Linked DNA regions of Macaca mulatta. The main gene of each other region encodes a partner of the protein of the gene in region 2 in a complex. Links are inferred from orthologs where the notes say so. Each region holds a gene or a part of one and is shown on either strand. Other genes may lie near its edges. The genes, in order: TAX1BP3 and KCNJ4.

What was found.
Region 1: the proteins of KCNJ4 (region 2) and TAX1BP3 are in contact, whole or in part, in a crystal structure (PDB 3GJ9), measured with the Homo sapiens proteins. The link is inferred for Macaca mulatta from reciprocal best matches to the Homo sapiens genes KCNJ4 and TAX1BP3. Residues at the interface, in NP_004972.1 of Homo sapiens: Arg440, Arg441, Glu442, Ser443, Ala444, Ile445; in NP_055419.1 of Homo sapiens: Leu27, Ile28, Leu29, Gly30, Phe31, Ser32, Ile33, Gly34, Gly35, Asp38, Gln39, Gln43, Asn44, Thr58, Arg59, His90, Asp91, Arg94, Leu97, Thr98.

What each region holds. Positions count from the first base shown.
Region 1 is NC_133421.1:5,148,378-5,163,503, reverse strand, and holds TAX1BP3 (tax1-binding protein 3), read left to right. Parts: upstream 1-6,144; 5' UTR 6,145-6,195; coding exon 6,196-6,234; intron 6,235-9,313; coding exon 9,314-9,433; intron 9,434-9,826; coding exon 9,827-9,904; intron 9,905-10,204; coding exon 10,205-10,342; 3' UTR 10,343-11,193; downstream 11,194-15,126. Other genes in the region: P2RX5 (P2X purinoceptor 5), read left to right, coding at 1,755-1,794; EMC6 (ER membrane protein complex subunit 6), read right to left, coding at 5,243-5,575; CTNS (cystinosin), read right to left, coding at 13,354-13,471, 13,738-13,852, 14,112-14,229. UniProt on the Homo sapiens protein: May regulate a number of protein-protein interactions by competing for PDZ domain binding sites. Binds CTNNB1 and may thereby act as an inhibitor of the Wnt signaling pathway. Competes with LIN7A for KCNJ4 binding, and thereby promotes KCNJ4 internalization.
Region 2 is NC_133415.1:13,104,599-13,118,934, reverse strand, and holds the end of KCNJ4 (inward rectifier potassium channel 4), read right to left. Parts: intron 8,963-14,336; 5' UTR 8,924-8,962; coding exon 7,586-8,923; 3' UTR 6,478-7,585; downstream 1-6,477. Other genes in the region: uncharacterized protein LOC144331675, read right to left, coding at 3,201-3,415. UniProt on the Homo sapiens protein: Inward rectifier potassium channels are characterized by a greater tendency to allow potassium to flow into the cell rather than out of it.

The DNA.
Region 1 (15,126 bases), on a different chromosome or scaffold from region 2:
TGAATTGCCTCTGCTTATGTTCAGGCCCCATCCTAAAGCCAGCCGTCCGGCACCGAGCGATCCCAGGCCTTTGGGAATGCCATGATGCTGCCCGATGGGAAATTTGTACACTGGGTGCTATCCATGTCACATCACGGGGACCAGCCATGAAAGAGCAAAGTGACCTCCACGTCTGATGCTGGGGTCATCAGGACAGACCCATCATGGCTGTCTTTTTGCCCCACCCCCTGCCGTCAGTTCTTCCTGTCTCCGGGGCTGGCTTCCCGCACTAGGGAACGGGTTGTAAGTGGGGAACACGACTTCCTTCCAGAGTCCTTGAGCACCTCAGCTAAGGACCACAGTGCCCCGTAGAGCTCCTAGATTACCTCACTTGGAACGGCATTGCGCATGTCTGGAGAAGGGCTCCATTTGGTTCCGCCCCACTCCCCTCTCCAAGTGCCGCAACTTCCCTCAGAGCATCCTCTCCAGTGGATCCAAGAACTCTCTCTCCTAAAGACACCACCTTCCTGCCAGCTGTTTGCCCTTAGGCCAGTACACAGAATGAGTGGGGGATGGCAGACGCTTTCTGGCACCTGCCCAATACGTGTATTCTCCGACACTCTTATTTGGTCATAAAACAATAAACAGTATCAATTTCAAATGTGTCCTGACTTTCTTCCCCTCATGCCTTCATGTTTACCTGTGTATATATATTATATATAAAGTGTGTATATATATATATATAATATATATAATATATATATTATATATATATATTTTTTGAGACGGAGTCTTGCTCTGTAACCCAGGCTGGAGTGCAGTGGCACCATCTCGGCTCACTGCAGCCTCCGCCTCCCAGGCTCAAGCGATTCTTCTGCCTCAGCCTCCTGAGTAGCTGGGATTACAGGTGTGCGCCACCACGCCTGGCTAATTTTTTTTGTATTTTTAATAGAGACGGGGTTTCACCATGTTGGTCAGGCTGGTCTCAAACTCCTGACCTTGTGATCCACCCACCTTGGCCTCCCAAAGTGCTGGGATTACAGGCGAGAGCCACCGTGCCCGGCCCATTTTTCCCTGTATTCTAATTTTTTTTTTTGAGATGGAGTTCTGCTCTTGTTGCCAAGGCCGGAGTGCAATGGCTCACTGCAACCTCTGCCTCCCGGGTTCAAGCAATTCTCCTGCCTCAGCTTCCTGAGTAGCTGGGATTAGAGGCATGTACAACCACGACCGGCTAATTTTGCATTTTTAATAGAGACAGGGTCTCTCCATGTTGGTCAGGCTGATCTCGAACTCCCGACCTCAGGTGATCCGCCCACCTCATCCTCCCAAAGTGTTGGGATTCCAGGCGTGAGCCACCGCGCCCGGCCTTTTACCCGTATTTTGAAGGAAAATGTAGGAAGGCAAGATCAAAAGAGGCAGACACGAGAAATAATTAGTAACCCATATAATATATACCCATTATCTTGCAAGGAAATTCAAATTATGGAAATGCTTTAAATGAACAACTATTAAAATTATAGACTAGGAAGGCACTGATAAAACTGGTACTTTTCATTCAATTAGTGTAATCTAACAACTTGAAATCATTTGGAATCAAATTTTTATCTTCTGCTGTAGGAACTTACTAAATTTCTCAAGACAATAGAAACGCAGACATTCATTGGAGAATTTTTTATAGTAGTGAACATTTCAAACTTACTGCCCAACAATAGGGAAATGGGTAAGTACATCATCAGCTCACTTATCCCTCTTCCTTCTTCCTCCTCTCCCACCAGGCCGGGGACTCCCTCTGCTTCTCCCTCACACCAGGAATGAACGTTTCCTTCCCACTCAGAGGAGGTTCTGAGAGGACAGAGGTGGGCGAACCACTGAGGATCTTCAGTGGGGGGCAGAGAAAGGGCTCACTGGGATAGGGAGGCAACACTACGGCCTCGGCTTCTCCTTGGCGTCGTGTGCGTGTGGTCCTGAAGCTGAAACGGAATATAACAGGTCTGGGTCCCAGATCCATTTCCATGACTGGCCATGAGCTATGATCTGTCAAAAGGGGTCTTGGATTCAAGCTCTCAGATCCCCTTCCAAACGAAAACAGATTATTAAAAAAAAAAGGCCGGGCGCGGTGGCTCAAGCCTGTAATCCCAGCACTTCGGGAGGCCGAGACGGGCGGATCACAAGGTCAGGAGATCGAGACCATCCTGGCTAACACGGTGAAACCCCGTCTCTACTAAAAAATACAAAAAACTAGCCGGGCGAGGTGGCGGGCGCCTGTAGTCCCAGCTACTCGGGAGGCTGAGGCAGGAGAATGGTCTAAACCCGGGAGGCGGAGCTTGCAGTGAGCTGAGATCCGGCCACTGCACCCCAGCCTGGGCGACAGAGCAAGACTCTGTCTCAAAAAAAAAAAAAAAAAAAAAAAAAAAAAAAAATTCCAAATGTGATTACATCACTTCAGACTAAAAACTTCCAAAGGCTTCCCCCATTTGCTCTGAGGATCAAGGCCAGGGCAAATGGGAGCTCACTGCAGCCTGAACCTCCTGGGCTCAAGTGATCTTGATCTTCCCATTCTAGCCTCCTACAGGGACATGCCCCCGTACCCATTACTGCCCTCCATGATCTGGTCTGGGTCTACCCTGTGGCCTCTTCTCTCACTCTCTAAATACAGTCACATTCCTTCCTACCCAATGGCCTGGAAACATGCGCTTTCCTGAAGGTAACCCCTTCCCCACACTTTACTTGGCCATGTTATTCAACCTTTGGGTTTCAGATGTAATGTCATTTCCTCAAAGAAGACTTCCTTGACCTCCATCCCCCAACTTGGGCTAGGTTTGCTGTGTCCTCTCTTCACAGTACTTACCATAATTTAAGTATTTGTGAAATTAGGTGATGCTGGTCTCCCCAGTTAACTATAAATCCAATGAGCACCATCATGTTCATTACCATAATTTCTTTTTTTAGACAGGGTCTCGCTGTTGCTCAGGTTGGAGTGTAGTGGCAAATTATGGCTTACTGTGGCCTCAACCTCCTGGGCCCAGGTGATCCTGATCCTCCCACCTCAGCCTCCTGAGTAGCTGGGACTACAGGCACATGCCACCACACCTGGCTACTTACATGTTTTTTTTGTAGAGATGGGACTCTCACTATGTTGCCCAGGCTGGTCTTGATCTCCTGGGCTCAAGCCTTGGCCTCCCAAAGTGCTGGTATCACAGCATGAGCCACTGCACTCAGGCAACTACTATAATTCTATTGCAATATCAAATAAACACACGCGTTTTATTCTTTCTTTTTTTTTTGAGATGGAGTTTCACTCTTGTTGCCCAGGCTGGAGTGCAATGGCGCCATCTCGGCTCACTGCAACCTCTGCCTCCCAGGTTCAAGCAATTCTCCTGCCTTAGCCTCTCTAGTAGCTGGGATTACCGGCATGTGCCACCACGCCTGGCTAATTTTGTACTTTTGGTAGAGACGGGGTTTCTCCATATTGGTCAGGTTGGTCTCGAACTCCCCACCTCAGGTGATCCATCCACCTCAGCCTCCCAAAGGGCTGGGATTACAGGTGCCCGGCCACAAATGCATTTTAAGATAACTCTCTTGACAAGAAAGGATCAGGGATTAACACATGGAGGTGTTTACACCCTAAACCAGCCCAAAATTCAGTTTAAATGTCCAAACAATTTTTTTTTTGAGATGGAATCTTGCTGTCACCCAGACTGAAGTGCAGTGGCACGATCTTGGCTCACTGCAACCTCCACCTTCCGGGCTCAAGTGATTCTCCTGCCTCAGCCTCCCAAGTAGCTGGGATTATAGGTGCCCACCACCACGCCTAATTTTTGCATCTTATTTTTAGTAGGGATGGGGTTTCACCATTTTGGCCAGGCTTGTATCGAACTCCTGACCTTGGGTGATCCGCCCGCCTCAGCCTCCCAAAGTGCTGGGATTATAGGCATGAGCCACTGTGCTGGCCTAAATGTCCAAACAATATTTAATCTTCCCTAGACATATTCTAAAAAATACAGCTTGACTGGCTGGGCGCAGTGGCTCACGCCTGTAATCTCAGCACTTCCGGAGGCTGAGGCAGATGGATCACGAGGTCAGGAGATCGAGACCATCCTGGCTAACCCGGTGAAACCCCGTCTCTACTAAAAATACAAAACATTAGCCGGGCGTGGTGGCGGGTGCCTGTGTATATGTGCGTGTGTGTGTGTGTGTGTGTATATATATAGATAAAATCTTGACTTTTTCTTATGGAAAAGACTGTCACTAAATGAAACGGAACTAAAATGACACCATTTATACCTGGAAGTAGTGGTTAGTGGTTAGTGGGAGGGAACGCTGGCCTGGGAAAGGTACACCCAGCCTATCAAGAGCAAATTAAGAGACCTGCGTTTGAATCCTGGCTCTGTCTCTTCCTAGCTGTATCTCCTCTGGCAGAAGTATTTAACCTCTCTGAGCCTCAGGTTCCTTACCAGGGAGCTAACAATAACATCTACCCTGTAAGGTTATTGCTAAAATTAAATGGGAGGATTGGTGTAAAAAGTACAGGTCACAATGCCAGCATATAGGGAACTCTGTTTTTTTTTTCGTGAGAGACGGAGTCGCGCTCCATCACCCAGGCTGGAATGCAGTGGCGCGATCTTGGCTCACTGCAACCTCTGCCTCTAGGGGTCAAACGATTCTCCTGCCTCGGCCTCCCCAGTACCTGGCATTGCAGGCGCGCGCCACCACACCCGGCTAATATTTGTATTTTTAGTAGACACGGAGTTTTGCCATGTTGGCCAGGCTGGTCTTGAACTCCTGACCTCAGGTTATCCGCCCACCTCGGCCTCCCAAAATGCTGGGATTACAGACATCAGCCACCGCGCCGGCCCAGGAAGCTCTTAATACATATTAACTGTTACTGCTTCTTAGGATGTTAATAAGAAGTTATTTCCTTATGTAGGCCCTTAGGGTCCGTTTCTGGATGGCCTATGTGTAAACGCAAGGACTTAACACAAGGCTCTGGCCCAGTCCCTGCTCTCCAGGAGTCAAATCTCGGCGATTTTGCATCAGTGGCAGACTAAGCTTTATGGCAGGAAAGAACTATACCAAGTGTCTCACGCTTCATTTAATCTGAAGAATATTACAGGCTCTCCGTCTTCAGATATAAATTATTTATAAGGTTACAGAACAAGCAGCGAATTCAACCACTTAAGGACTAAGGAAGTCTACACGGTGTTAATTGCTGGCCACAGTCCTCCCGATCTGGTTTTTAAAAAAAGTCCCCCGGGCCCCCATTTCAGTAGACGTGCACCATGCCGTAGAGGAACGTCCAGAACAGGACGTAGGTGAAGAGGCCCCCGATGAGGCCTCCTGTAAAGAGGGGTCTCCGTGATTTGAAATATTTGTTCCACCTCCTTCCCGCCTTGAGAATGAGGAGCAGGGAGAGCAGGACGGAGGCGAGCAGGTAGAAGATGAAGCCGTAGAGGCCGGTGAGGCCGAGGATGCCGGCCGTGGCCCCCGACAGCGCTGACACCGAGGTCCGGCAATAATCCAGGACGGCGGCGTTGCCCCGCACGGCCGCCTCGCTGATGAACGGCGGCCCTTCCCGCTTGGCCACCACCGCGGCCATCGCACCCGCCGGGGCTCGGCCTCTCGCTTTCTCGCGGAGCAACGCGGAGCTGCGGAGAAAACCAAGTTACAAGCAGCGCCCGAAGCTCGGTGAGTTGGGTTCACGCCGCCCCCTCCCCCTGGAGCTTCCGAGACCTGGCACCAATCCTGGGCCTCGGACCTTCCAAAAACGCCGAGGAGATTGAGGGTGCGAGTCGGCCGGGAGGTGGTGGCGCGTCTGCGTTCCCCGGCCACGCTGGCCCAGTTACCTGGAACACGGCGCCGGACACAGTACTTAGGGTTCCCTCAGACGGGAAGGGGAAGCGATGCCTGCGGCGCCATCTTGCTCTGAAGGCTGCCGGGAGGTCCCGGGCTGCGCACGCGCCCAGGTCCCGCCCCGCCCTCCGCGCCTGCGCCGTGGGCGCCCCGGACAGGCTCCACCCTCTGCCTGCTTTTCTACGCACGCGCCGGGACTTCCGAAAGCGGAGTAGCGCTCCGGCCAGTGATTGGCTGGAGGTTTGTTAACTATTCATGAGGGGGCGGACCGAGCGGGGCGGCCTTTGTTAAGCAGCGAGGGCGCGGCCGCGGGGACTCTGCTGCCGGCTTCCCAGAGCGGCGCTGGGCGACCAGAGTGGGGTCGAGATGTCTTACATCCCGGGCCAGCCGGTCACCGCCGTGGTGGTGAGTGCGCTTGCGCCGGCTCCTCCTAGTCTTGGCCTGACCCCACCTCGCAGAGCGGGAAACGGACACCCCAAGCTGGTTGACAAGAGCATCGAACCCGGGGATCCTGCGAACCGGCGGCAAGGGCTCGGGTTCCCGCTTTGCCGGAGCGGGCCGCAGTTCCCCCAGCCACGAAACAGGGACGGCCGGGACCCGAGAGCCTCCCGAGACCCTGGACGGAGCCCAGACTGCGCGCGCGGGGCGGGGAGGGCCACGGGGAAAGGCCCGGCTGCGGGAGCCTGGGAAAGCGCCCCCTTCCCGGGCCTCCGTGTCCCCAGCCGGGGAGCTGCGGGGGGCGGGCGCCGATCCCGACGTCCATGAGTCGCAGCCTCTGGAATGAGGAAATGCTTCCTCCGCTGCAGCTTGCGCCGCCGCCCGAAGGGAGATCTGGGGGTGGAGCTGTCCCGAGCCTGCCGTGGCAGCCCCTTCCCCCTTCCTGTCCAGCCTTGCTCCTCCGACCCACTCGCCGCCTGGTCCAGGGTGGACGCTCGTATAGCTGCGATGAGCGTTGCGTCTTGGAACTTTTCTTGGTTCTCCAGCCCTTAAGGCAGAAAAGTCCAGGCCTCCCTCCTGGCACCTGAGTCCTGAGTAGACCCTCTGGGGGCTAGCCTAGGCCCCTGGCCGCCCTCTGGCTTGTTGTAGGTGCTGGGTGGTATTAGACTAGGCAGAGAGAGGAAGGGAGGCTGGGCTGTTAGACTCAGACGCCGGTGTCACGGTGGGACGGGGCCTGGAGAGCAACCCTATGACAGAGGTGGGGAGTCCCAGAAAGAAGTGCTCAGCCAGAGAAGACCTCAGGATAGACTCAGGTCTCCTGCCTACCTCCCGACAGCATTCAGAGGAGGGACGAGAAGAAATGCCTGCCCGGTGGGCAGTAGGTCAAGTCCCCGCCCTGGAGCCTTAGGGACTGGGTGTGCTATCTCAGATGGGTGTGCTGGAGAAGCTCAGCAATCAGGTGGGTGGAGGCAGAGAAGCCACTGATAAAGGCGACACGTGAGGCTGAGCTTAGAGCACCAGCTCAGGCCTGGGCCAGGAGGAAACATTGCTGGACCAGCTGACAGCTGTCCTAAGCTTCACCGTCCCTGCACCAGCCTGACTTTTTTTTTTTTTTTTCTTTGAGACAGTCTTGCTCTGTCGCCCAGGCTGGAGTACAGTGGCGTGATCTGGGCTCACTGCAACCTCCGCCTCCTGGGTTCAAGCGATTCTCCTGCCTCAGCCTCCCAAGTAGCTGGGATTACAGACGTACACGAGCACGTCCACCTAATTTTTGTATGTTTAGTAGAGATGGGGTTTCACCATGTTGGCCAGGCTTGTCTTGAACCCCTGACCTCAGGTGATCCACCTGCCTCAGCCTCCCAAAGTGCTGGGATAACAGGTGTGAGGCACCGCGCCTGGCCCAGCCTGGCTTTTTTAGATCCCTAGCTGCCCCAGAGAGAGGGCACCAAGTTTACTCTTTAGCTAGAAGCGGGGTGGGGGCAGGGGCAGGTGAGGAGCCAGAGCAAGCCACCTTCTGCGTGACCTCACCCAGCAGATCAGTGACAGCCCTGTCTCCCAACCCAAGGGCCTGTAATCTTCTGACTATGCCGGCGAAGCAGGCCTGGAGGAGCTCAGTTTGGGGCATGAAGACCCAGGCGCAGTGGGTCTCATGCTTCCTGCCCCGCTCCCTCATGCCATAACTGGTCCCAGGGCCTTCCCCAAAATTGCAGGTGCATGCCTCCCAATTCTAGTAACACCAGGAACGTGCTTGAACATGGTGTGTATGGTCTGGCCTCTCCCTTGAGTCTTGGATTGGGGATGGGGTTGGGCAGGCTCACTCCCCAGTCCCCACCCTCTCCCATGTAGAATTTTGAGAATGTTAAATCCATTTAGGCCATTCCTCTGAACTCTGGCTCCATTGATCCATCTGCCTTCTGGACACCTGCCCTGCAGCTCCTGGCACTCCAACCCAACCTGTCCCTCCTCCTCCTGGGTCCTCATCTGAGTGATGTGTGTTCAGCCAGGCAAGGTGGCTGGGTGCTCCTCTTGACTCCTCTCCTCCATGAGTGGTCCCTAAGTCTGTAGATCTCCATTTTCAGGTAGCTCCATGTCCCCTAGCCTCTGCATCCTGCTTTTGTGAGATGTCCGTTCCTCTACTGATTACCTGAGTGGTCATTCTAGCAGCGAACCTGGCCATGCCCTGCCCTACTCCATTCCTGAGAACTCCAGTGGGTTCAGGATCAAGGCTACCCATCACCCCCTCAAAGCCTGATGCAAATAATCCCCGCTTTGGGGAACTTCTTTAGGTCTAGTCTGGATTGTCATCTTTTGCTTCTTTTCTCCTTCCTGTTAAAGCTCGACCTTGGGAGTGATCTGGTCTGGCTCCCAGCATCTGTTTACTGGACAGTGCTTGCCAAGGGCTTTGAAAGGAACTTGGCACAGTTGGGGACCATAACCCCAGAGCATGGTGGGAGCGCCTCAGAACACTCTTGTTTCTGCAGAAGAGCAGGGCCCGGGGCTTAGGGAGACACCCCTACTCCCCTTCAGGACGGGATCTGGCCCCAGCCTTACACTTTCAGCCTCATCTCGCCTCCCAGTTCTGTGTCCTGCACTGGACACTCCAGTCTCACGAACACGTATCCACAGCACCTTGAAGCCTGTGCTGTGCTCTGGTCCCCTTGGCCGGGAAGCCCTTCCTCTCCTTTCTATGCAAGTTTGATCTCTGTTTTTCCAGAGCACCTCCTGTGAGATGGGCTTCCCACCCACAAAAGCCGTAGCACCTGGACTCTTGGGCCAGCAGGGGCTTTGACCACGTGTTGACCAAGACCAGTGCCTAAGACTAATAGGGGAAGTGGGGACAGGTTGAGGACAGAGGGCTGTGTGGGTGGATCAATGTGGCCAATTTCTGAGTGCCAGCTCCTCAGCCTCCCAGGCTGTGAGCAGCTGGATTCCTGTAGGGGCCTGGGCCCCACCCCCTTGGCATGGCTCCGAGGCTGCTGCTGGGGACACACACCAGCCTCATTCTCCAACCACCCACTTCCCTCAACTGGCTTTTTTTCTTTGCCAGCAAAGAGTTGAAATTCACAAGCTGCGTCAAGGTGAGAACTTAATCCTGGGTTTTAGCATTGGAGGTGGAATCGACCAGGATCCTTCCCAGAATCCCTTTTCTGAAGACAAGACGGACAAGGTGAGGGGGTTCTGGGGTACTGGGACCGCTCCATGGGGCACAGGGGCCTGAGATAGTGGGTCTCTGTTTCCTGGGCCCCCATGGAAGGAGCAGACCTCATCTCTCAAACCATGTTCTCTAAGCAGGCATTGGAAGTGACCTAGTGAGAATAGGGATGGGTAGGGGTGAGGAAGGGCTGTCCAGATAAAGCCCAGGGGAGCACGGCCAGCGCACGGTGGGGCAGCGACACTCTGTCCCGGCTCTCTCAGAATAGTCCTCACTGACCGTGTGTGCTGGGACAGGCTGAGTGCGGGGACAGAGGGACGGCTGACAATGTGCTATGCTGGCTTCCGCTCTGTGGATAAGGGGCCAGTCCAGGGACCACAGGGCTTGACTTGGGCTACCCCTTTCCAGGGTATTTATGTCACACGGGTGTCCGAAGGAGGCCCTGCTGAAATCGCTGGGCTGCAGATTGGAGACAAGATCATGCAGGTAACACGTGTCCCAAAGGAGGAAAAACAAGGTTTGGGCCAGCAGGTCTGAAGCACGTGAGGTTGGGGACCTGCCGCAGCCTCCCAGCTGGGAGGAACTCACCATAGCCAGTTGGGAGCCCATGCTGGTATTGCCCCAGAGGACGCTGGCTTTCTCTCCTGTGTGTGTCTCAGCCACAGCGCTTGGCCTGGGATGTTAGGCTGGGGGCTTACTTGAATGACCCGGGCCTCCAAAGCCCTCTGCTTCCAGATCCCAGAGGGCGGGGAGCTGAAGTGGGCCTGTCTTCTCTCCCTGGGCCAGGTGAACGGCTGGGACATGACCATGGTCACACACGACCAGGCCCGGAAGCGGCTCACCAAGCGCTCGGAGGAGGTGGTACGCCTGCTGGTGACACGGCAGTCACTGCAGAAGGCCGTGCAGCAGTCCATGCTGTCCTAGCAGCTGCCACCGTCTGCAACTCCTGCCTGCCTCCCCTCTGTACAGGAACGCCACTGCCACGCTCTGTCCCCACCTGGCTTCTGCTGAGTGCTGGGCCCCAGCTCAGAAGGGCTACAGCTGGTCCCAGAGGCCAGGCCTGGCCTTCCTTCTCTTCTCCCACCCCTGGCCTGGGGCCTCTGGGACCAGCTTTCTCCCCTGGACCCCGAGGATTAGAAACAAGGGCCTGGAGCTGAGTGGTAGCCGGTCTGCTGTGACCACAGGCTCAGGTCCAACCTTGCTGCCTGGCCACAGCTGTGGCAGGGCAAGTGGGAACCACCATCTCTTGGGAGCCACCAAAGCTGGGAAATGCCGGAGAGGCCGGGCCTTTCCCGCTTTGCCCTGGCCGCCGGGTTCGGCTCCGCCACCGCCCCGCAGCCCTCGTGTGTCCACCCCGCAGTGCCTCTGCCCATCGGGGGACTGCACACACGTCCTGCCAGGGGCTGTATGAAGGTTTGCCCAGACAGAAGCCAGGTGGGCTCCCTGTTCACTCCCACTCTCCCGAGGGGTGCTGGCCTCCCCAGGGTTTACCTTCTTACAGGATTTAGATGAGGTTCGAGGCTCACATTTCAGGGCAGCTCTCAGGATTGTCATTTTCCTCTTTGCCTGTGGGTTTAACTTTTGTATTTTTTTAATCACGTTTGATACGAAATGTTTTTATCGTACTCTTTGGAGGTGCCCATTCTACTTCTGAATTTAGCTTACTAACTCGCATCTGGAAGCTCAGCAAGTGCACAAGCCTTACTTTGGTGACCGTGGAAACCACTGCCGCCCCTCCCCAACGTGGTGTGCTCAATAAACAGTGCTGGAATTCACAAGGGCTTTGCTGAGGCATGGGCTGGGATGTCTCGGGGGTGGGATACTGGGGCCAGAGCTGTGGTTTTAACGATGGCTCCATCCCCCACTGTTCTGGGACAAAGCTTAACTACTCCCAGGCCCACCTGCCTGGAAAGCCCGGGGCTGGTGGAGCCGTAGCAGCTGCACTGCGCCTCACCGGAACCACATCTGTGGGAGCATCTGGGAGCACTGCGGTGGGACCCTGGGGTGCATGTGCTTTCTTGGGTGTTATTGTGAAGCCCCTACTTGCTCCCACCTTCCTTTTTGCAACCTAGCCTCAGCTCCCACCTGGGAGGGGCCATAGGGACACCCAGAGGTGCCTGCGAGAGACCCCTGCCTATAAGACACTAAGGGCACTCCCTGTATCACAGCGAGGGATGCAACCCCCCACGTTGCTGGGGGCCGTGATCTGGCCAGATGGGGGTGAGCCAGAGAGCACCTGACCACCTGCGTACCAGCTTGGGCAAGGTGTTAGCACTCCTGGACCTACCTAGCACTGCCAAATCAGATTTTAAAGAAAAGTCCATAATTTTTTTTTTTTTTTTTGAGACAGAGTTTTGTTCTTGTTGCCCAGGCTGGAGTGCAATGGCGCGATCTGGGCTCACTGCAACTTCCGCCTCCCGGGTTCAAGTGATTCTCCTGCCTCAGCCAATCAAGTAGCTGGGATTACAGGCGCCTGCCACCATGCCCAGCTAATTTTTGTATTATTAGTAGAGATGGTGTTTTGCAACGTTGGCCAGGCTGATCTTGAACTCCTGATGTCAGGTGACCTGCCTGCCTTGGCCTCCCAAAGTGCTGGGATTATGGGCGTGAGCCACCATGCCCGGCCGGAAAAGTCAATCATTTGAAATATCTCATTTTAAAGTATGGCACCCAGTAACACATTGATTGGGTGACACAAGTGAGACAGGTCTGTGGACCTGGTCAGGCCAAAGTCTCTGCTCTACAGAAACGAGACCTGACATTCTTTGATGTTTGTGACAACTACATAGAGGAAGCGTCTGGAGAATAAGACCCCCACTGCCCCCCGCCCCCACACCCAGTGCTGGTGTGCCCTTCAGAACCTCATCCGCCCCCACTCACATCCAGATTGAGTGGCGTGCCCTGGTAATGGTAGACATGGAGCCTGGGAGAGTGACCTGTCCCTGGGCGGGCAGGAGTCTCACACTACCCAAGAGGGCTCCCCAGTGAAGTGCGGGGTCAGCACGCAGCCCCCTCGGGTCAGTGAACTTCACAACCTTACGCGCTTCCTCACACAAGGTGGGGAGCAGGGGCACCTGGCTCTGAAGGCCAGCACACCTGCCTTCTGTATCGAGCACACACTTAAGAGTGCAGAAAGGAAGCGAGTAGGTTTTAATTCAAGATACAGGCCCCTCGCGTTGTCTCATGGACGAAAGCTCAGTGGACTGACAAGCTCAAGGCATGTACGAGGCACGTCCTGGGACCCCCTGCTGCCATAGGAAGAACGACAGCTTCGGGTGGAGAGAAGGAGGTTGAGATCAGGGTTGGGCCCATACAGATTGTGTGAGGTGGTCTCAAGTACAAATACTTATCTGAGGCTCCTGAACAGGCCAGAAACTGGTGAGTCTCAGGTAGGGATCTGGGGAAAGAGAGAGAAGGGGGCCTGCCCTCCCTCCGGGGCAGCTGGTCGCCGTTTGGCAGGCCTAACAGACCTCTAAGGCACAGACTGGTAGCAGGAGAGAGGTGTCCTGTACTCCAGATGCTGGGTAAGGAGGGGCTGGGTGTGCTCAGGTGGGGCTCATCGGACTGGAAAGGTGGAGGTAGCGGAGAGGGCAGAAGAGAGTAAGCCACTTCCAAACGTCCCTCCACAAAATCTGAAAGGAGTTAGTATGCTAATGTGCTGGGCATGAGTCCAATTCAGAACCAATCTGGCAGGCACCTCAGGGCTCAGAAATACTCTGGGTAGGACCAGCTGTTGACGGCAGTCGCGGACGCTGAGTTATGTAGAGAGAGCATGTCAGGAAAGTGGCCTGCAGAGAAAGAATCCCGCGGCCTAACCCCAAAGTCCTAGTCCCTCCACCAGCACCTCTGAGTCCACTGGCCACGGCACCTGGCTGCTTGGTCTCTGGGAACGCAGCGGTGGCAGCGAAGTGCCCTTGGCTTTCCCGGCTGCAAGGTCAGCCCTTCAAGCTGCTCGCAGAAACGCTGGTAGTTTGGGGCAAGGCCTTCAGCTGCAAGTTCGGTGCCCAGTCCTGCCTGAGACGGCTGCCAGAGCCTGTGCGCGCTGCTTGAAGCCTTAAAGAAAAGAGATGGCGGCGTCAAGGCGACGGTGCCACGTGCCTGGCCGGGGAGGCCCAGGAGGGGCCCGGATGAAGGCAGGCTGTTGAATGGCCTCTGGCTCCAGGAGCAGAGTGCTCTCCTCTGTCCGCACACTGAGCCGGCCCTGCGTGCCAGGGCCCAACCGCTTCTCCGGCCTTCGCTGGGTGAGGCCTTCCCCAGCAGGGCGCGAGGCCGGGGGCTTTGCACACTGGGTCCCTGGGTGCTAGTTCAGCTGGTCGTACCCCGGTCTCTTTCTGTACAAACAGAAGTGCTGGATGAAGAAGACGATGTCGAAGAAAATGGAGAAGACCCCGAGTCCAAACTTGGTTGGGTCTCCGAAGATGAGCGTCCACTGGTCTGTTAGCGGCCGGGGGATGGAAGCTGGTGTTAGATTGTAGCTCCTGAGGCAGCTGGAGCATGTGGGGTGGTGGGAGGTGAGGGTCCCAAAAAACCACAAATCCTGCAGCTACGAAGGCCCCTAGGCGGGTCTCTCCTTGGGGGCTGGATTGGCTTGGATCCCAGCTGGGGGTGGAGCCCTGGTTGGAGGGTCCCGGGAAAGCTGGCCCCGCCCAATGCTCCAGCCACAGGGTGGCCAGCAGCCCGCTGGCTGACTCACCGTTGTTGTAGGACTGAAGGAACATCTGCAGGAGGCTGAAGCTGCCCCCGGTGAAGTCCAGGAGCACGTTGCCAATGCTCCAGCCCTCAGTGCTTTTGTAGTGAAAGTTCATGTAGGCCTGGGCCAGACAGAGGGACAGACAGATGGAGGGCGGTGAGGACTGGGCGGCTGCCTCACGTGCCTCGTGACTGCCCCTCCAAACAAAAGCGGTTCTCATTCCTCCCACTGGGGCCTTGGCTCCAAGGAACACAGTGACCTTTGGGCTGTGACAGGCCTCAGCCAAGGCACAGTTTGGGTGGTCCTGGGGGTGGGCGTCTCATCTGCATGTACAGCAAGGAAAGGCCCCCCACCCCCCGCACCTCACAATTCCAGGGAGGCGGGGCTGGTGCTGCCTTCCTGTGTCTTCCACATCCCTGGGGCTAAGGCCCTAAGCTGGTTTCCCTGCAGTTATGATTCCTCTCGCCTCCAGGGAAGGCTGTCCCCAAACTCGGCTGGGACTTCATGTGCTTAGGGACTGGGTGGGAGTGGGACTTCTGGTTTGGAATCCTGGCTCCGTCACCAGAGCTTGCTGTCTTGGGCAAGTGACAGTTCTCCTAGCCTTGGTTTCCCCGTCTGTAGAGGGGGTTAACTCCCCTCGCAGGCCTGGCCAAGGCTTCTGGGGTCTGGGGGTGGGTCTGCGGGGAGGCGCTCCAGTCTGCCTGCCTGTGCCCCACGTCCTCCCACGCCGCAGAGCCCTGTGGGTCCTCTGACTGCTGTGACCTTTCCTTCCCGCCGTGAGGGAGGTCCTGGCCTCTCTGGTGGTCTCCCAGTCAGCCTCCGGTCGGTCCCTGTCTTGTGTCCTGGCTCACCCTCTTCCGTCCTTGCTGCTGCCCCTCCAGTCCTGGACAGTTCCAAACATCTCCAACCTGGGCTCCTGCCTGCCTGGTTTCTTGGCCCCAAGCCGTCCCACCCTCAGGGACTGGGGCCCACTTCCCCAAACCTTCCCCTCCTTGGAAACCCTCCCGAGCTCCTGGGA
Region 2 (14,336 bases):
AGAGGCCAGCTTCAGGACTCAGCCCAGGGCTGAAGGGTGGGGGCCCAGGTCCCAGCTCCATCTTTGTCGGTTTGGTTCAGTGCTGAATGCTTTCTGCTAAAACAGGGCCTTCCTTACTCACAGAAGGTGCTCAACAGGTATTCACTGTGTGACCTGGAGATGCCCTTTAGAATCTGTAGTGGGTGGGGCCGGCGTGTGAGCTCAGGACCAGGATCCAGGCACTTGCTTCTGGCTGTGGGATTCCCACAGGGCTGTGTGAGGAATGTCCTGCCAGGTTCCAGGCAGTAAGTGGAGTAAGGGGTGGCCAGTGATTGGGGGAGGGGCAGAACTAGGCTTGGCCAATTTTGCCAAGTGCCCATTCTGTCTGTCCTCACTTCTTCCCCAGACATCCTGCCAGCTTCTGAAGGTCACAGGAACAAAATTCTAGGTGGTCAGGCACATCAGGACCCTGGAGGTCATCAGGTCCCAGCTCCTCTTTTTTTTTTTTTTTTTTTTGAGACCGAGTCTCACTCTGTTGCCCAGGCTGGAGTGCAGTGGCATGATCTCAGCTCACTGCAACCTCTGCCTCTTAGGTTCAAGTGATTCTCGTGTCTCAGCCTCCTGAGTAGCTGGGATTACAGGCCCACGCCACCACGCCCGGCTAATTTTTGTATTTTCAGTAGAGACAGGGTTTCGTCATGTTGGCCAGGCTGGTCTTGAACTCCTGACCTCGTGATTCACACGCCTCGGCCTCCTGAAGTGCTGGGATCACAGGTGTGAGTCACCATGCCCGGCCAGGATATTGGATTTAAAGCTCCTTCACTTTCCAATTCCTGGGACCCAGGTCTACATTGTCCTTGTAGAAAGATTCGAAGACTGAAGGGTGCATTTCTTTTCTTTTCTTTTTTTTTTTTTTTTTGAGACAGAGTCTCGCTCTGTTGCCCAGGCTGGAGTGCAGTGGCCGGATCTCAGCTCACTGCAAGCTCCGCCTCCCGGGTTTATGCCATTCTCCTGCCTCAGCTGCCCAAGTAGCTGGGACTACAGGTGCCTGCCACCACGCCCAGCTAGCTTTTTGTATTTTTTTTAGTAGAGACGGGGTTTCACCATGTTAGCCAGGATGGTCTCGATCTCCTGACCTCGAAATCTGCCCATCTCGGCCTCCCAAAGTGCTGGGATTACAGGCTTGAGTGAAGGGTGCATTTCTACAGTCTGCCACACAGAGCCCAGAACTGTTAGCTTTTGAAACTTGTACTCAGCTTATGCAAACAGGCACAAGAAGAAAAAACAGTGAACAAAGATGTTCATCACTGCGTTGCTCCAGGTCTCAGTTTCTGTTTCTGTAAATGAGGGGTTGCCTTGATGATCCATAATGGTCTATAATTTTTGATCCTGTACAATTTGATGAACATTCTATAGTCATTAAAAACTGAAGGCTGGGCGCAGTGGCTCACGTCTCCAATCCCACTACTTTGCGAGGCTGAGGAGGGCAGATCACAAGGTCAGGAGTTCGAGACTTGCCTGGTCGACATAACTCTATCTGTACTAAAAATACAAAAAAATTAGCCAGGCATGGTGGTGTGCACCTGTAATCCCAACTACTTGGGAGGCTGAGGCAGGAGAATCTCTTTTTTTTTTTTTTTCTTTTTGAGATGGTGTTTCACTCTTGTTGCCCAGGCTGGAGTACAATGGCGCGATCTCGGCTCACTGCAACCTCCGACCCCCCGGGTTCAAGTGATTCTCCTGCCTCAGCCTCCCTAGTAGCTGATATTACAGGCATGTGCCACCATGCCCGGCTAATTTTGTATTTTTAGTAGAGACAGGGTTTCTCCATGTTGGTCAGGCTGGTCTTGAACTCCCAACCTCAGGTGATCTGCCCGCCTCGGCTTCCCAAAGTCCTAGGATTACAGGCATGAGACACTATGCCTGGTCAGGAGAATCTCTTGAACCCAGGAGGTGGAGGTTGTGGTGAGCCGAGATTACACCATTGCACTCCAGCCTGGGCAACACAGTGAGACTCCATCTCAAAAAAAAAAAAAAAAAAATTGAAAAGATGTAGAATCCATCAATACCCAGAAAAGTCAATACCTGGAAAAAACTGCAATGAGAAAAGCCAGACGCAGGAAGCAGTCCTCTGATTGCGGTCGTGGGGTCTAACAAAGATGGGGGTGAACGCGATGAGGTGAAATAGCTGAGTTGGATGCCTCCTAAGTTCTTCTCTATTCTTCTATGAGCTATTTGAGTTCATAAAGAAGATAAATCTTCCAGAAGCTGGTGGGAAGGAAGCCATGGTGAATCTACAAGGATTAGGTCTCAGCTGTGGGATTCCAGGCAGGCCGGCAGGCGTGGCCAGATGAGGGTGGGATTTTCTGCTCCCATTAGACCCGCCCTCTTCCTCCCTATCTGTCTGCCTCCCTTTCCTCCTCTTCCTCCCTCCCTGTCTTCCTCCTTTTCTTTCTCTTCCTCTTCCTCCCTCCCTGTCTTCCTCCTTTTCTTCTGCATGCATGATACCCTCGTCATTCTCTCCATCCCGCCCACCACTCCTGCTCCCCCAGAGGCTGTGACCGAAGTGGGGAAGAGAGGGGAGGGCAGGGCAGAGGGGGTCTCCCTACCCTGGCTCTGCAGGGAAGCTGGTGTGGCATGAGGAGGGCTTGGCAGCACTTTACGGCTCCTTCAGCCCGCCCGTGTGCGCAATTCTAGGCTCCGTGACATCTAAGGTTCTTACACCCCCAGACGCAGCAATCCCCCCATGTCAGTGCCGCAGGAGCCGGAGTGGAGTGAGAGATCAGAGGAGCTGCACGAGGAGGGAGGCAGGTGGGAGGGCTGTGAAAGGGGAACAGGTGGGAGAGGGAAGGTGAGTCAGCCCCAAGCAGAGCTGAGCCAGCAGGAGTTTGCAGTGCAGCCAGGCCTGGGAGCCTCCCTGCAGCTGCGGGCTCTCGGCACCTCATGGCCCTCTCCCCCAGTGCCCACACTGGAGCTGACCTTTGGCACTCCAGAAGTCCTGGCTTTGGGCTTTCACTTGCCTCTTCTGTGTGACCCTGCCACAGGTCACCTTGCATGTGACCAGAGAGACCAGGCCCCTCCAAAAAGAGCAACTACCACAAGCATATGAGCAAGCCGCAAGCTGGTGAAGGGCCTGGAGGGACCTTGGAACGCCCCATGTTGCTCTGGATGGTGGATGACGGGCCCTCTTTGAGGTAACCCCACATGTACCCCTTCCTCACCCTGCATCCAGGCCTCTCGCATATCTTAGAGGAGGGTGGACATCCCCGAAGACGTGCTCCAGGTGGAGGCTTCTGAGTCTGGGAGCACCTGAGCCTGAGTCCTCTTCAGTTACTGCTCGTAGCCCGGGAGCCGTGGCATCCTGGGGATGTGGAGGGAGGACCGGGGAGACCTGGCGAGACCCACCCAGGGCCTGCGGGGCTGGATAGCGGGACATCTCTCATGAGCCTCCAGGGTCAGGAGTGAGACCCTGGGGTACTCAGCTGACAGAAGAGGACCAGGGGTCCTTCCAGAATGTGAATTTCTTTCTTGCTGAGCGGCCCCCACAGGCTCTTCCAGGGGGGCCCCCAAAGACCACAGGTGCACTCTGGGAAATCTGAGAAGGGGCAGAAGAGGAAAGGAAGCAGCCTCTCCCCCTCATTGAGCCCCCACCTGGGAGAGGATGGAGTGAAGGAAAAGCAGGGTCCCGGGCCTCTGACTGTCCTCACTTTGTTTCCAGCCAGTTCCCTGGTTCTCTGGGCCACCATTTATTTCCTCATCAGTAAAAGGAGGCCATAATCCTTGTCCTGGCTTCCTCTTGGAGTTTCGTAAGAGTTCAATGAACCCAAGGACGTGAAAGGTGTTATGCAAATCAGAGACATTATGAGTTATCTGTTGGGAGGCTTGGATCCCGAACGAGGCTCCGTCTCCAGGAAAGAGGTCTCCAGTTTCCTTCTGCAGCAGCGCAGCATACGGGGTGCACAGTGATTCACCCAAACGGCAGCTATACTGCTGGGGCTGGTGAGACGTGGTCATTCACAAGGCAAGCTTGCCGGCTGCTTCCCTGTTTCTCGAGGCAGCTGGCACCTTTGTATGGAAGATCCCTGGGACCCAGAAGGGTGCCTTCTGCTTCCTTACAGCCCAAGGCACACAGTCGGCCTGTAGAATAGAGGTCGGGTGGGAGGAACCCTCAAACTCCAAGGTTCTGGGATAGATGACCAACTAGGGCCACAGCTCCCTCCTGCTCCGCATGTCCTTGGCAATGTGACTTTGCCTCCTTCTCAAAAGGTGGAGTCTAATTTCCCACCCTTTGAACCTGGGCTGGCCTTGTGACCTGGACTCTGCCCGATAGACTGCAGTGGAAGCGGTGTTATCCAAGTTCAAGGCTAGGCCTCCAGAAACCTTGCAGCTTCTACCTTCGCCCTCTTAGGTTGCTGCCCGGAGTCACCATGAAGGAATGTGATGTAGCCTATTGGAGGAGAACCAAAGCCCCCCAGAAAGCAGTCAGACCAGCTGCCGACATGTTCTTCGGGGGTCTTCCAGGCCCACTGACGGTCCAGCTGAGCACAGCTGCCGGGTGAGCCCAGGAGAAATCAGCTAGGAACCCCAGCCCACCCACAGGACCCTAACAGAGGATGCATCATTGCTCTCCGTTTTGCGCTGACTGGTTACATAGCATAGGCTAACCGAAGCCAGAGAAGGGAAGGGACTTACCCAAGGTCCCACAGAGAGCAGAGACCAAGCCTGTCTTGGTCAAGTCTGTGACCAGGTTTCCCGGCCCCTGGGCCCTTCCCATCAGTGTCCTGCCACCAGCTCTACCAGCGGTGTATGGATCTGCATATATGTAGGGAGGTGTGGATCGGGTGGGCCCTTCCCCCTTCCACCTGAGTTAGGAAGGGTTGGCTGACATCCACACAGGGCTATCCTGCCCATTATCGCGGGCGGGAGGGATGGTTAATCCCATTCTGCAGAAGATGAAACCGAGGCCAAGAACTGACAGTCACACAGCTATTAGGTAACAAAGCTCTGACATCAAAGCTTTTGGTTCTTTGATGCCAACTCCAGATCCTTCTATTGACTCGCAGGAAGGAGAATGGCAGGTGATAAAGTTCCCTCCAAGGGTCAGTCACTCAGAAAGGGCCACACACACAGACACATGCAGGCACACATACTACACAGGCACACACCTAACACACAGGCACACACGTAACACACAGGCACACACAGGCACACATACTACACAGGCACACACCTAACACACAGGCACACACATAACACACAGACACTTGCAGGCACACATACTACACCGGCACATGCATAATACAGGCACACACATACACACAGGCACATATACTACACAGGTACACATACTACACAGGTACACATACTACACAGGCACGCACCTAACAGACACATGCAGGCACACATACTACACAGGCACACATACTACACAGGCACACACATAACACACACAGGCACACATACTACACAGGCACACATACTACACAGGCACACACATAACACACACAGGCACACATACTACACAGGCACACATACTACACAGGCACACACATAACACACACAGGCACACATACTACACAGGCACACATATTATACAGGCACACACCTAACACACAGGCACATACAGGCACACATACTACACAGGCACACACATAACACAGACACACGCAGGCACACATACTACACAGGCACACACCTAACACACAGGCACACACATAACACACAGGCACACACATAACACAGGCACACACATAACACACAGGCACACACCTAACACACAGGCACACACATAACACAGGCACACACCTAACACACAGGCACACACATAACACAGGCACACACATAACACAGGCACACACAGGCACACATACTACACAGGCACACACCTAACACACAGGCACACACATAACACAGGCACACACATAACACACAGGCACACACATAACACAGGCACACACATAACACACAGGCACACACCTAACACACAGGCACACACATAACACACAGGCACACACATAACACACAGGCACACACAGGCACACATACTACACAGGCACACACATAACACACAGGCACACATACTACACAGGCACACACCTAACACACAGGCACACACAGGCACACATACTACACAGGCACACACATGACACACACAGGCACATACAGGCACACATACTACACAGGCACACACCTAACACACAGGCACACACATAACACAGGCACACACATAACACACAGGCACACACCTAACACACAGGCACACACATAACACACAGGCACACACATAACACACAGGCACACACAGGCACACATACTACACAGGCACACACATAACACACAGGCACACATACTACACAGGCACACACATGACACACACAGGCACACACCTAACACATAGGCACACATACTACACAGGCACACACATGACACACAGGCACAATTACATGTGTGCTTGCTCACTGTCTCTCCTTCTCACCCCTCCATCTTCAACCAGCCAACCCCAATGGACCATATACTTTATTAAAAATATATAGTTATGGCCGGGTGCGGTGACTCACGCTTATAATCCTAACACTTTGGGAGGCCAAGGTGGGTGAATCACCTGAGGTCAGGAGTTCGAGACCAGCCTGGCCAACATGGTGAAACCCATCTTTACTAAAAATACAAAAATTAGCTGAGTGTGGTGGGTCATGCCTGTAATCTCAGCTACTCAGGAGGCTGAGGCAGGAAAATCGCTTGAAGCCGGGAGGCGGAGGTTGCAGTGAGCCGAGATTGCTCCGTTACACTCCAGCCTGGGCAACAAGAGCGAAACTCCGTCTCAAATATATATATATGGTTACAAACTCCGTCTCAAATGTGTATATATATATATAGTTACAAACTCTATTGTCAATCTGGGCTGGGCCCCGGGGCCGGAGGGACTGCAGGGAGGGAGGGATGCTCCCTCATCCCACCCCTCAGAGTCCCTCCTCTGCACCCAAACTCAACACCATCCAAGGGCCAAGGTGGCTGGCTTTGCAGGCCTCAAGGGGCCAGCCAGCTGGGCAGGGGAAGGGGCTAGGCTTGATGGGCAGGGTGGGGAAGGGTGCACAGAGAGGGACCATATCTCCTTGTCTGGCAGGTAAAAACGGCAGAAGGTGAATTTGGTGTCTCCATCTGTCTCCATTTATAGATATTTACAAAAGAAAGTCATGAGCAACAGGCCACAGTCATGCAAAAGAAACGCACCCCCCTCCCCAAACTAACCCCCTGCCCACCCTGAAACCCCGAGATGTCTCCCACCCAGCAGTCCAGTCACCTTCCCCAAGGTTCTGAGAGCAAAGAGGGCACGTCCTTGAAGAGTCAGTGGGGGAAGGGTGGTGGATCCGGGGACCCAGAGCCACCAGGAGTAGGTGCTGGGGGAACCCAGGCTGATTGGGCCGAGCTCTTCCCAGGCCAGGGTGCTGGAGTCAGGAGGAAGGGGTCCCCCAGTCTTTGAAACCCCCACCTTCCTCCAGAAGGTCCACGGAGCCACGGTTGGCTCTGTCCTGAGTGTGGGAGGGGGTGTCCTGGCATCCTACCCCCGGCAGAGGCTCTTGTGGGCAGTGGTGAGGGCCGGGCCTGGAGGTCAGATAGCAGACTCCCTGCGGTAGGAGATGTTGTCCAGCGGGAGGGAAGCCTGCATGCGCTCCAGGTCCAGGTGGCTGCCGAACTCCAGCATCCGGATGATGCCCGCCTCCTCCTTGGAGCCGGCCTCCAGGCCCAGGCCTGCGGCCACTGCGGCCGCCGCAGCCGCCTCCTCCTCCATCTCCTCTTCCTCCTGGCTCATGAGGGCCAGCTCGTTCTCATAGCAGAAGGCACTGGGAGGGGGCGGCGGGGCGGGCAGCACGGTGATCTTACTCTCCTGCAGCTCCCGGGCCGAGCAGCAGGGTGTGCCGGCCACCTCGTAGGTCTTGTGAAAACGCGAGTAGTCCACCTTGTAGTGGCTCTTCTCCTCAAAGACCACGGGCTCAAAGCGGTGGCCCCACAGGATCTCGCTGGCCAGGTAGGAGCTGCGGGCCTGGGTGGTCATGGCCGTGGCCTCCACCATGCCCTCCAGGATGACCACGATCTCGAAGTCCTCTGACTCCAGCTCCTCCTTGCCCATGCCATAGAGCGGGCTGTCCTCATCGATCTCGTGGACAATGATGATGGGCGACACCAGGAAGATGCGGTCCAGGCCGATGTCATAGCCCACGTTGAGGTCCCGCTGGTCCAGGGGCAGGTACTCACCCTCCTGGGTCATGTAGGGCTTGATGAGCTGGGCCCGCACGTGGGCCTCCACAATGTGGCTCTTGCGTAGGTTACCCACGCGCCACATGAGGCAGAGCTTGCCGTCGCGCACCGAGATGACCGCATGGTGGCTGAACAGCAGCGTCTGTGCCCGCTTCTTGGGCCGCGCCATCTTGGCCATGATGGTGCCGATCATGAAGGAGTCGATGACGCAGCCCACGATGGACTGGACCACCACAGCGATGACTGCCAGTGGGCACTCCTCCGTCACGCACCGGAACCCGTAGCCGATGGTCGTCTGCGTCTCCACCGAGAACAGGAAGGCACCCAGGAAGCCGTTCACGTGCATGATGCAGGGCTTGGGGGCCGCCGGGGCTGCCCCGCCACTGCCCGCCGCCGGCCCGCCCGCCCCGGGCACCCCTGGGCTGGCCTCCAGGTCACCGTGGAAGAAGGCGATACACCAGAAGAGGAGGCCAAAAAAGAGCCAGGAAACAAGGAAGGCCGCGGAGAAGATCATGAGCATGTAGCGCCAGCGCGTGTCCACGCAGGTGGTGAAGATGTCCGCCATGTAGCGCTGCGACTTGTTGCTCAGGTTGGCGAAGTACACATTGCATTGGCCGTTCTTCTTGACAAAGCGGTTGCGGCGTTTCCGCCGGGGCACGTGGGCCTGGCCGTTGCGGCTGTGTCCGTGCATGTCCTGAAGCCGGCGTGGTCACCTGGGAAGACGCAGGGCCTGCGGAGGAGAAGCCAGACAGGTGAAATGCTGGGGAGCAAGGGGCCTCCTCAGGGCCACCCAGACTCAGCCCCTAGACTCTCAGAAGCAGGTGAGCCTGGACCAGGACCTAAGACTTCCTCTGCCGCAGCAGGCGGAGGGTGGCAACGGAGGGGGTTCTGATGACAGGGTCTGAGCCAGTGCCCCTGAGTCCGACCCAGCTTAGAGATAGGGGTCCACAGACCAGGAAGCTAAAGCCACAAGGATCCAGGTCCTAGTCCCTGCCCCTCAACACTGCCCCTCCGGCCCTCCTATGCTCACTGTTCTGGAAGCTTCCTGAGGCCCATCTCAGTTCCTCCCTGTCCCTCTGTCCTGCTTGCCCTGAGCATAGGGAGCCACGGAGGCTCTGGGCCCGCTCCCCTCCCTGGATTCCATCTATGGACTTTTGGGCTTCTTGGGGGCTGGACATCCTCCTGTAAGATAGACACTGGCCACCTGTGGCTCTTTACATTTAATTAAAACTAAATAAAATATTAAGTATAGCTCCTTCCTTGCATGAGCCACATTTTAAGTGATCAGGAGTCACATATGGTCAATGGCCACCACACCACACTGGACAGAGAAGACATATAGGAGAGTTCTAGCACTGAGAAATTTCTGGCCGGACACAGGGGTTCATGCCTGTGATCTCAGCATTTTGGGAGGCCGAGATGCAAGGATTGTTTGTGCCAGAAGTTTGAGACCAGCGTGGGCAACAGAGTGAGACCCCATCTCTACAAAAAATAAGAAAATTAGCCAGGCATCGTGGTGCATGCCTGTGGCATCAGCTACTTGGGAGGCTAAGGCAGGAGGATCTATTGAGCCCAGGGGGTCAAGGCTGCAGTGAGCTGTAATCATCCCACTGAACTCCAGCCTGGGCCACAGAGCAAGACCCCATGTCAAAAAAAGAAAAAAAGAAAAAAGAAAAAGAAAAAGAAAGTTCTGCTGGGCGCGGTGGCTCAAGCCTGTAATCCCAGCACTTTGGGAGGCCGAGATGGGCGGATCACAAGGTCAGGAGATCGAGACCATCCTGGCTAACACGGTGAAACCCCGTCTCTACTAAAAAATACAAAAAAACCTAGCCGGGCGAGGTGGCGGGCGTCTGTAGTCCCAGCTACTAGGGAGGCTGAGGCAGGAGAATGGCGTGAACCCGGGAGGCGGAGCTTGCAGTGAGCTGAGATCCGGCCACTGCACTCCAGTCTGGGCGACAAAGCGAGACTCTGTCTCAACAAAAAAAAAAAAAAAAAAAAAGAAAAAGAAAGTTCTACTGGAACCCGCAGCCCCACCTGGGTCTGAGCTACTTTCTTAGACTCTTCCCTCCCAGTGCTGCTTTGAGTCCTTGAGCCCAAATTCCTGCCCAGTGCCCCGTGGAGGAAGGGGGAGTCCCCAGCTTTGACTCCTCTGTAGACATCGCTATTCCCATGTCCCGGGTGGCTCAGAGAGGGAAAGCCAGCTGCCAGCCACAAAGCTGGCAGTGGATACAAACTTGCGTGGCACCAACATGAATGAGTTGATGGCGGGGAGACAGGGAGTGGGAGGGGAGGACACACTCAGTTCACCTCTCGGAGCTTCCACGTCTTCACCTGTAACATGGGCACCAAAACTCCCTACCTCATGGGACCTACGGGGACAGCAGGCGCTGGGGTAAAGCCATCACCCTCCTGCTTGCCTTCCCACACTTCCCAGGAGCTGGTGATAGGCAGGATTTGCCTGTCAAGCATCCCCAGCTGTTGCAGCAGAAGAGGCCCCTCACCGCACTGGGTGGCGGGATGTGCCTCGGGCCGTAGAGGACAGACCCTCTCTCCACCCCTCCCTGCCACTGGGTCCCCAGGGAAGACATGGTGCTACCCTGCCCCCAGCAGCTGGCAGGGCCAGGACTGGGCCTGGGTTCCCAATAACATTTTGGCCCAGAATTACATAAGGCTGGAAGTTTCTATTTTCTGTTCTATTCTTCTTCCTGATCTAATTGTGCATCTGTGGCAATGTTTATACACTTCCCCGGTTCAGGACAACTCGGTTGCTGCAGCAACCGGTACGCGCCAACGCTATAATTTAGAGATCAACAGCCTCAGAGCCTGCCTCTTCCCAAGAGAAACTCCCTCTCCGGGCCCAGGGAGAGTGAGCCCTGCCCCCACCTCCTCCCCCGCGGTCACCCACCCTGACTCCGAGTTCTTCTCCCTATTCCCTTTGTTCCCAAAGAGCTCCCTGGCTCCTACAGTCCTGGGTTGAAGTCCTAGATCCACTGTGTGACTTGGGCGAGCTACTGACTACTCTGAAACTCAGTTTCCTCATCTTGAAAATGGGGCTGGCCGGGTGCGGTGGCTCACACCTGTCATCCCAGCACTTTGGGAGGCTGAGGTGGGTGGATCACCTGAGGTTGGGAGTTTGAGGCCAGTCTGACCAACATGGAGAAACCCCGTCTCTATAAAAATACACAAATTGCCGGGCGCGGTGGCTCAAGCCTGTAATCCCAGCACTTTGGGAGGCCGAGACGGGCGGATCACGAGGTCGGGAGATCGAGACCATCCTGGCTAACACAGTGAAAGCCCTTCTCTACTAAAAAATACAAAAAATTAGCCGGGCGAGGTGGCAGGCGCCTGTAATCCCAGCTACTCGGGAGGCTGAGGCAGGAGAATGGCGTAAACCTGGGAGGCAGAGCTTGCAGTGAGCTGAGATCCAGCCACTGCACTCCAGCCTGGGCGACAGAGCGAGACTCCGTCTCAAAAAAAAAAAAAAAAAAAATACACAAATTAGGGCTGGGCGCGGTGGCTCACGCCTATAATCTCAGCACTTTGGGAGGCCGAGACGGGCCGATCACGAGGTCAGGAGATGGAGACCATCCTGGCTAACACGGAGAAACCCCGTCTCTACTAAAAAATACAAAAAACTAGGCCGGGCGCGGTGGCTCAAGCCTGTAATCCCAGCACTTTGGGAGGCCGAGACGGGTGGATCACAAGGTCAGGAGATCGAGACCATCCTGGCTAACACGGTGAAACCCCGTCTCTACTAAAAAATACAAAAAAACTAGCCGGGCGAGGTGGCGGGCGCCTGTAGTCCCAGCTACTCGGGAGGCTGAGGCAGGAGAATGGCGTGAACCCGGGAGGCGGAGCTTGCAGTGAGCTGAGATCCGGCCACTGCACTCCAGCCTGGGTGACAGAGCGAGACCCCGTCTCAAAAAAAAAAACAAAAACAAAAACAAAAACAAAAAAAACTAGCCAGGTGTGGTGGCGGGCGCCTGTAGTCCCAGCTACTCAGGAGGCTGAGGCAGGAGAATAGCGTAAACCCGGCAGGCGGAGCTTGCAGTGAGCTGAGATCCGGCCACTACACTCCAGCCTAGGCGACAGAGCGAGACTCCATCTCAAAAAAAAAACCAAAAAACAAAAACACACAAATTAGGCCAGGCATGGTGGCATATGCCTGTAATCCCAGCTACTAGGGGGGCTGAGGCAGGAGGATCGCTTGAACCTGGGAGGCGTAGGTTGCAGTGAGCCAAGATCGTGCCACTGCACTCCAGCCTGGGCAACAAAGTGAGGCTCCGCCTCAAAAAAAAAAAGAGAAAATGGGCCAATGAGATATCATGCTGGAGACCTAACAGGTCATGCAGGCATGGCCTGTAATGCAAGGCTGGCCTTTCAGAGCTGGAGGCTCAGACCCTCTTTGCCCCCTCCCGCAGCATTCCAGCAGCCAGGGCTCCAGATGGAAACCTTGGGGTTCTGGGACCAGGCACACCTTCTGCTCTATAAATAGAGTTTTCAGGGAGGCCTTTCTTTGCTAAACATATTCCCCCTGTTCTGTCCCACTGCCTCAAATGGCTCCAGGAGCACCGCGGACTGTCAGGACAGGAGCATAGGGTCACCGAGTTCAGGACCCTCATTTTATGTCTGAGGCCAAGGAAATCCAGAGATAGGAAGGACTTGCTAAGAGTCCCAGAGTGGGGCCAGGTGGGCCAGCCCTGAACAAGGCCTCACCCCCACCCCTGGGTTCCTCATCCACTTCCTCCCTGGAGGGGGCTGGGGTGGGTTTTGGGGCAAAGGCAGGGAAGAAATCAGCCAGTCCAAACTGGACCACCATCCACAGGTGTGTAGGATAGAGGCAGAGGGGACAGGGTGTGGCGGCCCAGGCCTTCAACAGGTGAGGTCACTGAGTTCCAGAGAGGGTGGGGGCCCCTGCCCAAGGCCAAACACAAGCCCAGAGTTCCAGGGCATCCCTGGTTCTTTGCCCGGTGGGATTGGCTCCTGACCTGGTGAGTTCACCTGGTGCTGCAGATGAGATGTCTTCATGGGAGGGGCCTTGGGGTTAAGGGAGCCGATCCCCTGATGGCTACAGAGATTGGGCGTCCCCTTGCCAGCAGTGCCCACCCCTCCCCATTAGCGAGTGCCCAGGGTCAACCCTGAGCTTCCACAATCCCCAGCCCCAACGGCAACACTCACTCCTCAGCCCCTCCAGCCCACTGGGCTCCACAGTGCAGCCCGATGGGGACATAGTTTACCCCTCACCCTGACACCTCCCCGACAGCTTACAGCAGGTATCCTGAGCTTTTGCTATGTGCTGGGTCCTGTCTTGGGTTCCCAGTGCCCCCAGCACATCCTGGAGCTTAGCAGGAAAGCTGCTTCCCTGGCACTCCTCAGACCTGGCACCCTTCCCCATGCAGCAGCCCCTGGGACACCCCATCCCCCTGAAAACCCTTGGTCTGCAGTGACTCGATCAAATAAGTGCATGCTGCTGCCACCACAGACCATTTTAGCAAGAGAGAGAGGTTCCGCTGCTAATTCGAGGCTGACCTGTGCAAGGCCTGGCCAAAAAGTGAAGGGTATGAGCTGGGCATTGTGTTCTCATGTGACAACCACGAGGAGATGGCCAGGTTTTCTCTTCCTTGTCACATGGGGCTTCCTGGGGAAGGCTGACGATGGCAGGAGATGGTCAAAAGGCCTTGACAATTCAGTACCATCCTCCTCTGACTAGTGATATTTTTTTTAAAAAGAGCCCTGCTGGGCGCGGTGACTCGCACCTGTAATCCCAGCACTTTGGGAGGCCGGGCAGATCCCTCGAGGCCAGGAGTTCAAGACCAGCCTGGCCAACTTGGTGAAACTCTGTCTCTACTAAAAATTCAAAAAAATTAGCCAGGCATGGTGGTGGGCGCCTGTAATCCCAGCTACTAGGGAGGCTGAGGCAGGAGAATTGCTTGAACTTGGGAGGCGGAGGTTGCAGTGAGCCGAGATTAAGCCACTGCACTCTAGGCTGGGTGACACAGTGAGACTCCGTCTCAAAATAAATAAATAAATAAATAATAAAATAAAAAAGAGCCCTGGTTGTTTAGGTGTCTGCTTTATCCCTATGATTAAACTACTTTTGTGGG